Linked DNA regions of Caenorhabditis elegans. The protein of the gene in region 1 interacts with the protein of each later gene in a pairwise test. Each region holds a gene or a part of one and is shown on either strand. Other genes may lie near its edges.

What was found. Proteins that work in one complex are often made in the same cells at the same time.
Region 2: the proteins of famh-136 (region 1) and C33A11.2 interact in a two-hybrid assay, tested with the Caenorhabditis elegans proteins (one large-scale study listed by BioGRID).

Annotation. Positions count from the first base shown.
Region 1 is NC_003281.10:8,885,995-8,890,646, reverse strand, and holds famh-136 (FAM161 homolog famh-136), read right to left. Parts: upstream 2,897-4,652; 5' UTR 2,890-2,896; coding exon 2,765-2,889; intron 2,651-2,764; coding exon 2,449-2,650; exon of another isoform or gene 2,232-2,448; coding exon of another isoform or gene 1,954-2,231; intron 1,858-1,953; coding exon of another isoform or gene 1,708-1,857; intron 1,662-1,707; coding exon of another isoform or gene 1,604-1,661; exon of another isoform or gene 1,491-1,603; intron 800-1,490; coding exon 695-799; 3' UTR 504-694; downstream 1-503. Other genes in the region: lnkn-1 (Protein linkin), read right to left, coding at 40-159, 217-411; putative RING finger protein ZK637.14, read left to right, coding at 1,604-1,661, 1,708-1,857, 1,954-2,231. UniProt on the Caenorhabditis elegans protein: May play a role in locomotion and behavior.
Region 2 is NC_003284.9:15,364,328-15,370,508, forward strand, and holds C33A11.2 (Aa_trans domain-containing protein), read left to right. Parts: upstream 1-1,664; 5' UTR 1,665-1,669; coding exon 1,670-1,745; intron 1,746-2,444; coding exon 2,445-2,719; intron 2,720-3,637; coding exon 3,638-3,815; intron 3,816-4,121; coding exon 4,122-4,216; intron 4,217-4,347; exon of another isoform or gene 4,348-4,419; intron 4,420-5,237; coding exon 5,238-5,429; 3' UTR 5,430-5,672; downstream 5,673-6,181.

The sequences.
Region 1 (4,652 bases):
TTCAATGAAGCAAAATGACAATGTTTTCAATAAACTCACCAAAACATCAAGCCTAGAGTCTCCATTGAAATCGCCAACTGAACATTCAACAAAATCTGCATTCAGGCTGGGTTTACTGATGGCAAACGATGTTCCTGGTGTGAATTTGGAAGCTTCGAGCTGAAAATTTCAAAATTTTTATGTGAAATTTCAACAAAAGAAAAAATAAAAACTAACCACATCAAGAAGTTTAGTTTCTTGATAATTAATCGTCAATGTTCCATTCGCAAAAACCAGAATATCAGTATTCCGATCTGCATTGAAATCTCCAAATGCACATACTTTTCCAAGTAAATCGGGAGCTTTTTTCTCGAGTGATAGGCTTCCACTAACCAAATTGATGAGCCATATGATCGGTAATATTTTTTTCATAGTACCTGAACGTTGTTTTGTTTGAAGAGAATAAGTTCGGTGGAAAAAGTATGAAATACGGTCAAAACGTTTAAGGAGAGTTTAAATCAATTGGGATAGAGATTTTATGACTGAATGCATGAAAACTTATTAAAAAAGTATGAAAGAAAAATAATGATATAATAGTGAGCAACAATGAGGGAGCCTAATGAGTGGAGAATACGCCTAAATGGGATATTTTTTTGATAAATGGGAAATTAAGAGGGGATATGGCAATACTCGGTGGAAAATGTGTGGCTGGCTCTCAGGTATTTTTCGCGAATCTCTTCTTGATTGCCGGAATTAATTTGATGTGATCATCAGCACAAACAGAGACACACGAATCGAGCTTCTCGTTGAAACTGAGCTTCTGAAATGCGAGGATTTTCTTAATTTTTGATCAATTTTTTTTTAATTTTGTGAGAAATCAGAGGCGTTAGGATCACAGAAATGTGTCTTATAAATATTTTTGCCATGCCTTGCTAAAGGCGCACGGAATTTATTAAGATGGGGCTCAGCGCGTAAAGAAAATATATTTCACTTTTCTGTTTCTTCCACGCCAAAAAACAGAAAAACACATATTTTTAATAAAAAACTGGTTTACAACAATTTTTAACATGAAAATGTTTTAAAAAAAGGCAAAATTTGCTAAAATCGAGGTAATTGCAATGAAAAATGTAAGGAAAAGCAGCTGCAAAAAATATTAAAAACTACCATAAACTTTTTTCCGCGCCGAGACCCTTCTGAATAATACCGTGCGTCTTTAGCGATCGCTAAATTTCTACCAAATTGATAATTATCATTAATTAGAGACGACAGAAAGAATAGAAAAGAAAATGAATCATTTTAGATTTCATAATGTTACATTAAAAAAAAAACACCCCTCGATACAAATCTTATGAGGGTCTAACTATTAAAATAGCAAAAGTAATACAAAACTAAAAATCGATGAACAGCGTGGCACTTGATTGGTGATTCATAAACCCCCGAAATTTGCATAAATAGTCATCAAAACTCGTGATGAAAGAATGGAGAGTGCGAGACAGACACGCAAAAAATCCGCAAACACCGTTACGACGAATTGCACGTTTTTCGTTGCACTTGCGTAAGTACGTTTTCCTTTTGTCACCATATCTCTCGTCATTTCTTAAAATATTTTATCTGGCAATTAGATATGTCGGAAAGAGACGCTATTAGAGCTTTTTCGCATATGCTCGAAACCATCTTCGTCAGTAAGTTATTTTATGAGAAAGCATTCAAATTATATATTAAATTAAGGAATGCGAGCGGAAGGTACTGGTTCACAAACAGATGCGATGCAAAGATGGCTGGATTTGTATAATGTTGGAAGTTTGCCAATTGACAAAAAATCATATAAAGCGCTGAGACTGATGGATCGAGAGACTACAGATCAACAGAAAGAAGATGGTATGAGAAACTATTAAAATTGAGCAAAGCTTGTATTTGAAAAAAAAAACACTCAGAAAAAATGCTGACTATTTGCCTAAATAATCTATTTTTCAGCAACCTGTGCAATTTGTTTGGATAACTTGCAAAACAACGTCGATATTCCTGAAGATCATGTCATCAAAGAGGAATTAAAAATTGATCCAACAACGTTCGGAACCACAGTTATCGTCATGCCATGCAAACATCGCTTTCATTATTTTTGTCTCACTCTATGGCTTGAAGCTCAACAAACTTGCCCAACATGCCGTCAGAAGGTCAAAACTGATAAAGAAGTTGAGGAGGAGGAGAGACAGAGAAATCTTGAAGAGCTTCACGATTCAATGTATGGATGATTTATAATTTAAATCTTATTTCTATTAAATTCTTCTTCGACAAAACTAAATTAATTTTCAACCCAAACTAGCTTTTCACTGTATATACTTTTGTTTTAATTCCAAAAAAATGTTCCACCAAAAGCTGTGAGCTATGAGCCCCCTCGGGTGTTGATTTTTTAAATCCTAAATTAATTTATAAATTTTTTGATTTCTAAAATTTAATAAATCTTCACACCTGTGATTCTGAATACTTATTGACATCTGGACCAAACTGTTGAACAAGCTTATCATAGCAAGTCATTGCACAGCGTGAGAGCTGGTCTTGAAGCCCTCCGAGCTCTTTTTCAAGATAGCCTTGCGCCTTTTTCATGCCATCGTTGCAGCTTTCAACGCAGTTCTCGACAGCATCGCGTGTGGTTTTCTTGTTGTCACAGCACCTGAAATAATGCAAAAAATTTTCAATTGCGAAGTTAAATTAGACATTTTCAGGTGGTTTAGCGTAATACAAATTGCTTACTAAACATATTTAGTGTAATTTCGAAAATAATTACCGAGCTGAGCACTGAAACATGCTCTTCTGCATATCCCTCAAATAGGTCTTATCCAAATCGTCAATCATCTCATCGACAGCCAGCTTTACTTTCATTTGAGTAGCCTCCATCGTTGAGTTTGACATATTTACCCTAAAAGTATTATAAAATTAAATTATTTATTGTTAACGGACATGTGAAAATCAATTTTCGAAAGTAAACGATATGTCATTTATGAATGACGCAAGAATTAAAGGATAAAGGAAGATAGCTAAAGCTCAAAATTTATAATCCCAGATTATACTTCCTTTCGTCATGTTATATGCAATTTAATTATTCTATATATTGGAAGTCTAAACTAAAATAAAATATTTCGTTTCATTAAAGAAAGAAACCAACGAACAAAAAAAAAACGAAAAGCACAAAGAACGCGCAAAAAATAACCAAAAAACAAAAAGAAATCATATCAGTTGACAAGAATTGCGCAAGTCGAGTGCTGACGCACTTCTTGATTATGCGAAGCTGGCGCACTTCTCGATGAGCTTGAAAGTCAAAGGCGAGTATACTGTAGTTGATGAATCTGAAATTAAAATTGAGAGAAATCAATTAAAACGGTGGCAAATACAACGTTTACATGCAAAAATTGTGTGAAATGTCGAGATTTCAAAATGTCGTTCCGAAAATATTGCGAAAATATTGCAAATTTCAAGAAAATCCCAAAATCAAGAAAGTAATTGTATTATAAATAGTAAAGTGTTTGTAAAAATCAATACGTTATAATAAATAGAGATTAAAATATTTTATTTTTAAATTTTATTATAACGTTGCTTTGACACAAAAACCATTCATGAAATGCATTCACAAAACTGTTTCTGAAAACTAAAAAAACAAATAATTTGGTCAACTTGTTGTTATTTCAAACAAAATACTCAAATCTTCTGATCTTTTTTCTCCTGTTTTAATAAATATTCGTTTTTCTCCTGTTTTCTCACAACTTGGGAATGGAAATTACAGTACTCTTTTAAAGGCGCACACCATTTTACAGCTAAATTGCAATTAACAAAAGTTTGTCGTGTCGAGACCGTATTTTTGGTACAAAAATCGGGCCGCTGAGTTATACTAATTCTTTTGAATTGTCACACTTCCAAATTCAGAAGTGACATTCTGAAACCGGAGCTCCTTTTTTTCCCGAATATTGCTCCTCGGAGCATCCTTTCGATCCGATATTCCTTGTGTTTTTCTTTGTTTGTTTAAACCGCCTACTTTTCATTTTTGTCCCTCTCGCTCTCTCTTTCTCACACGTTCTGTCTCTCTTAACCTCCTCCATTTCCATTTCTCGGCTTTCTTCTACTGCTTCGAAGCCAATGATGCTCAGCTGAGCCAAATAGAGAGACAGTGCGCATTATGAATAGACGTAGAGTCATATATGGAGACGTCTTTCTCTCTCTGAATCTGGAGCAACTCTCCTGGTTTTTATTCTTTTCCGTTTGAAGCTTTGAGCTCTGAATTTGGTGTCACACATCCACGTCATTGGACAAATTATTGGGTCATTTTGTCTCCCGGCTTAACCACATCGATTTCATGTTTGTTTCGTAATCCCCACCTCCCTCCTGTTCCCCGCAAACAGCTTTACAAATTTTTTGAAAAATGTGATTTTAAATTTAAAAAAAACTATAAATTTTTTTTGTTTGTTGAAAAAAATTATTTGAATAAAAATTACATTTCCAATTATTTTTTAGCGAAATATATTATTGAGTATTCTATTGAATAACTGCAGCCATAAAAACATTTTGAAATTGGAATGTTTTGTTCAATTACCAATGTTTTTGACTTTGTCACGACCCGACCGGAAACGTTTAAACATACTATTAACATAATATTTGTTGAATGCATTTGTGAATATGGTTTT
Region 2 (6,181 bases), on another chromosome or scaffold:
GCGATTTATTTATTTTTCGAGATTTATTTTACAAAAAAGTTTTATCGTCTGCAAAAATAATTTGTTTGAAAATGACAATAATTATTAATTAGATAAAAAACAGTTATCAATTTTTCAATTTGCTATTTAAATGTTCAAATTTGTTTTCCGAGCCATTTTATTTCAAAATTCGAAAAAAAACCCGTGCAAAACTCGTTATCACTGAGCAATAATGACAGTATTTATTGAAAAAAAATGTTTTGTGGATTTTTGCTTTGCTCGGTCTGAGATCTACCTAGAAATGCAATACAAAGGAATAATGATTCACTTTTCTTCCTGTATTGGTTTTCACCAGATATAAATTCACAGGGTATTTCAACAATTTTCATTTTTCTCTGAAAAATTTCAAAAAATTTGCACAATCTTTTAAAGTCTGAATTAGTATCAAAAATTGAATACTTAACTGAAAAATTGTAAATTTCAAAAAAGCCAGTTACATATATTCATTTTTCCAGGTCTTGAAATTGTTCTACGTATCTATTAAAATGCAAACACTGGATTTCCTAATCCCTTTTAAAGGTGAAGGTAGGGTCAGTTGTTTTTTTGTCTACATGCATTTTTAAAAATTCAGAATGGACGAATTTTAAGATAAATCACTTGAAAATTTTTAGATTTTCAAAATTTTGCAGGCAAATTTTTGGTAATTTGGAAAATTTACAATACATTTTAACTATTTAACAAATTTAGGGCAATGCCCAAAACACAATTGGAAAACAACAATTTTAGGTAAAAGATTTTTTGTGCAACTTCTAAAATTATGAGTAACATTACCTTACCCAATTTTTCAATATAAGTTTTTTGGAGTTAACTTCAAAAAATTCCCTACTGGGGATACCGAATCTTTATTGTAAGGTACGGTAGGATGTGTCTTTCCAAAACATTTAGTTTCTTTTCCAAATTTTTTTTCTGAGCAACCACATGATTTCTCAATCCTCCCGTTTTTTTCCCTCAACAACTGCTCACGTGACAGTCCTCAGATTGTGTTCAAAACTAGCCCCCTCCAGTTGCCCTTTTGTCTCGTATTAGTCCTGACACCTCTATCCTTCCTCAGCTGTCTCGCCGTCTCACTCTCGCAACATAGTGTCCGTAGGGGTCACGTGTCTGCGTGTGTGTGTCTTTTGTGCACACTGGTTATGAACACTTGCCGACTGTTAGAACACCGGATTGCACGCGCAAAACAGTTTTCAAATGGTCTCCAGTTTTTTAGGCCTAATTCTTTTTTCATGCTATGAAATTCGTTGTTTTTCCTATTTTTTCGAAGTTTTTTTTTAAATTGAAAGCATTAGTTGAAAAAAAGGAACTAAAGTTAATAGAATTTTAGGAAGACCTCGAAAAGATACTAATCAATTTACTTTCTCTCTGCCTCTCCAAATAAATTTCTTTTCTCCGCCAAAACGCAGCTGTTTTCTTTCTGCCCTCTAATCGTTCCGAGCCTTCTATCAAATAATTGATAAGAGTATATAACGTTCGAGATAGAAACACCGTTCTGATAACTTTTTAAAGCATCCCCATTCCAACAAAAAAAATCGTTTCCTCACATGATTATGTTTCACATCGATTTTTGTTGTTGTGTTGTTGTTTCACTGTTTGATTCTCGTTTGTTCTTGTTTGTACTCTACTCTTGCAGGGCATGTGTGTCGGCCTGTCAAAACTAGGGTTCGGCCCGCTGCCCGTTCTTATCGCGCTCATCTTCTTCGTGCAGTCATGTAAGTTTTTTTTGTGACAAAAGAAAGTGATAGAATAACTTGAAAATTAAAAAGACAAATTGTCCTGCTATTCGACAACAATGTTTTTTTTTAAATTTAAATTGCAACTTCTGTTATTTAGCAAATATTTTTTTTTCTAAAGACACCAGGTTAATTTAGAGTATTTCGTTTTTAGCATTGCATCAAAATTTCGTTTTCAAAACTAGAACTATTTTTTGCTATTTCGCAGTTATTTTACTATAAAACCGTTCACAAAGTCATCAATGATTTTGGATATCTCGTGAAACAAGTCAAAATGCATTGGAAGAAAAATTAAATTAAATTTATTAATATATTATTTTTAAAAAAATTCAAAATTCATCTTCAACAAATATAGTTTATGGGGTTATTCAAGTAGTGTCGGAAAATTACAAGGTGTAAAAAAAATGACGTCACAACTGTGTTAACATACCTTGTTTTTAATGTATTTTAACACAGTTGTGACGTTATTTTTCTAGACTTTTTAATTTTCCGGCACTACTTGAACAACCCCATAGATTATTTTTTTTTTAAAGACGAATTTAGAAAATTTTTAAATGGTATATAAATAAATTAAAAAAAAAGGATACACACTATGCATTTCCTATACGGTTTCAAATTCACATTGACAAATTACTTCCAAACAGGCCTAACTATGTACATATGTATATCAACTTTCAGTTTTCGTCTACACTATCGCAGTGCTCAAACACGACGTCGATCCAATCTTCCCGTACCTCTCGTCGGCCGCCGACAAACGTCCCCAATCATGCATCTTTGCCATCGGAGCCAACATCAGCAGTGTTCTGCTTGCCCTTGTGGTCTTTGTGAGATATCGCCAGTTGAGGGGCATTTTCGCATTCTATGATGAGGCCAACCTGCAGGCATGGAACTGGCGGCAAAAGTGGTTTGGATACATTGCCGCGCTGGGATTGTTCTTTGTGGCAAATGTTCAGGTAGTTAATTTTGAATAAGTTTAAATTTTAATTCGGCAAAGCCGAAAAAAAAACGTTTTGTCAATGATGTAGAAATTTATATGAATTGTAGCAAAAAATGTACTTGATTTGATGATTTATAGCAATTGATAGGGTTCTGGTAAATGAATAATTTATCAGGGTTGTAGTTTGAAATCCAGTCGACTTTCTAACTGTTAAGAATCAGATCAGAGGTGGGCGGCAAACAAAGTGCCAATTTGCCGAATTTACCCGTCTTATTAATAATTTCCCTAAACATTTCCGGGAAATCTGATATCCGGCAAACGGCAAATTGGCAATTTGCCGAAAATGAAAATTTCCGGTAAATCGGCAAACCGGCAATTTGCCGCCCACCCCCAAATCAGATATAAAAAATGTAATCAGAAAATTAATTATGACGACTTTCAGAATTTTTTTAATTCAAATAAACTAAACTATTGTCACGTGATCGACATTTGGCTCAAGCTTCTTGCCCAAGTCTAATCCAATTTTTGCCAAACTTCTGCCCAAGATTAAAATAAAACAAGACAAGTTTGAGCAAAAGTTTGGCAAGAGATGGGTGAAATTTGGACTAAACTTTGGCGCAGAATAAATCAATGTTTAGCTAAAGTCTTGCCCGACTTTTGTCCAAGTTTAGCTAACTATCGATTCAAGCTAATATTTTTTGGGCCAAATTTAGACAAGAAGCTGAAGCCAAATGCCGAGTGTACAGTGACCCTTTTTACTTTGGCAGCGTTTAATTCACCGAACCCAGAGCGATTTACCCATCGGCTCTTCTCCAGTTCAAACTTGCCACTGAAATCCGCCACAACAACTAGAATGTTACAACAAACGCTGAAAAAAAACCCGAACGAGAGAAAAGTCCGAACGGAATTTCTCCTAATAATTTTTACTTTTCAGGAAACCGCCATCATCCCGGTTCACATGTCCTCCGCCGTTGCCTCATTTGGTGGATTCAGCATCTACATGATCTTCCAGTGCTACCTTACGCACCGAGTCACACCGACAATCACACTGAGGACTGTTTTCTATTACCGTGTGATCTTCACTATCTTCTCCGTGATTTGCTTCTGCTGCTGTAAGTTTCGACCTTTGCACTCGGAATTTTTTTTTTTTCTGAAGAGATTGATCGCATTCTTGATGATAACATCTAGTTGTTCCCTGTAGTGGATTTAAAATACGAATTGGTTGATAATTTAACAAGATTACGCTACATAGAATCGACAAATGTTAAAGGAAGTTGCGCATGATCTTTGAAGTCTTCCTTGGTTAAAGTCTAAACTAGCTCACCAATCGGATATATAAAAAATTGTGCAACATTTTAGCGATGTATCATAAATGATCTCAATGATTCATGGCTATGCAAAGAAATTTAAATTTTCAGCATTTGGATTCGGAATCGCTGCTTCCAAAATCTTCCACAAGACGTACCCGGATCTTCCGACGCCCCGTCCCTGGTCCCGTCGTATTTATCAGCCCGTAAGTATTATTGATATTCAGTAAATAATACATTGAATGATAGTCGAAAACTATAAAACCAAAAAAAATATATATTTCCGGGGGCAGCATAGCTCAGTCGGTAGTGGTGGCCGCTAACAATCTGGAGGTTGGCCTGAGTGGTCTAGTGGGTAAGGTGCGCGACTTTCACCCACATGGTGCAGGTTCAATCCCCACGCCGGTCACTCTTGTCTCCGCTTTGACCGGTGCGTTGGTCGCCTGATCATTATGATGTATGATACCCAAATAAAGTCGTGGTTAATAGACGGGCCGGAGGTCCGTACAGAAAAAAAAACTCGGCGCTGGGTGAATAATATCTGAAGTGCATCGATCAGTTACGAGTCTGGTGATTAATGGGGGCGTCGTCGTCGCTCAGATCCCCCCGACCTAGTCGGGCCAACACCCATTAGCTCTCAACGCGCGCACGTTGTACAATTATTATTATATATTAACAATCTGGAGGTCACAAGTTCAAGTCCGGCCTCACCCCCTGGGTTTACCCAGCCTCTATTGGGAAGTGCAGCAATCCACGACTGGATTATTGTCCACAGTCCCCGGCTAGGACGTGGCTTAAATTATAGCCCAGGGGGAGCACCAGTGTACCTGACTTATAGATCCGCAGTGCATAGCGCTTGTAGAACGGATCGTCATTTAATCTTTTTTTTTTTAAATATTTCATTTAAACAGACTTTCTGTTGAAGGAACCACTACAATCTTGTTGGAATCTTGATGTCAGCTATAAAATTGTTTCATGGGAAATTTCAAATGCTCTTTTTTTTTTAAACTCACTTGCAGTAGCATCTATTCCCTCAATCCCCACCAGCAAATTCGCAGAATGGGTAATTCCTGGTCTCCCGAATTGAATTCCTGGAAAAAATATTTGTTTTGTATTTTAGGAACAATGTACCTTAAAAAATCAGTTTATAGTCTGGTCTCACACAAGGCAGAATGAGTTAAAAAAAACCCCTTGAAGTTCTTAGAAAACAATTTTTCAAATTTCCAGGGCTACGAGCTGCACCAGATCTCGGCGCTCGCTGAATGGGGATGTGCCATCTCACAGATCTTCTTCATACAGTCGTTTGGGCCGGAGTTTGAGGACATCTCCCTCGACTATTATCTCAAATCGCACTACGTTCCGCGCGGAGCACTTGAGCAGGAGGAGTATGAAAATGAGTACCAAGGATATGGCATCTAGAAATTATTGCATTCGAATCTTTCTCTTTCTGTTACCGGTGGGCCGTTGACGCAGCTCATTTTCACGTGTTCTACTAGTATTTTGAAATTTCATGACATTTAATTTTGCTGTAACATCTCATGTTTTTTGCATCCCCGTTTTTCTTTCACAAAGATTCCCCAACTACCCAGTTTTTTTAGTGCCTTGTATATCCCATTGAATTGTTTGTTGCAGGTGCTATCAATCAATTAACCATTTATTTTTATAACTTTTTTTTTCATCTTTCTAGGGACACAAGATTTGAATAATTGGAGGAGACAATTCAGAGCAAAAAAGAAAAGACAAAATGTTTTTAAAATGACAACAAAGAGAGAAATGATCGATTCGGGAAAGGGCTGGAGAACAAAAAATAGTGGGTAAAACTATTGCACAATTTTTTGAGGTAATTATGGTAATTCAGAGAAACAGGAAGAGAGAGAGATGAAAATAAGGAAAATTGAAGGAAAAAAGATAGAAAAATGAAATTAGAAAGGAAAAATGAATTTTTTTAATGAGAAAATCTTGATACAAAATTTATAAATCACAAAACTCAAATTTTTCGGGGAAAACTGAATGATGATGATGATGAGAGAAGATAAGATATTTTTAAATATGGAAACTTTAATAACGACGAAAAAAAAACCATAAGTTAATGTGTTCCCATACGACTACCAATGAATACATCAATTAGAGATCAAAAAACTGGAATTTGATTTGTATATTTGAGTTTCTGT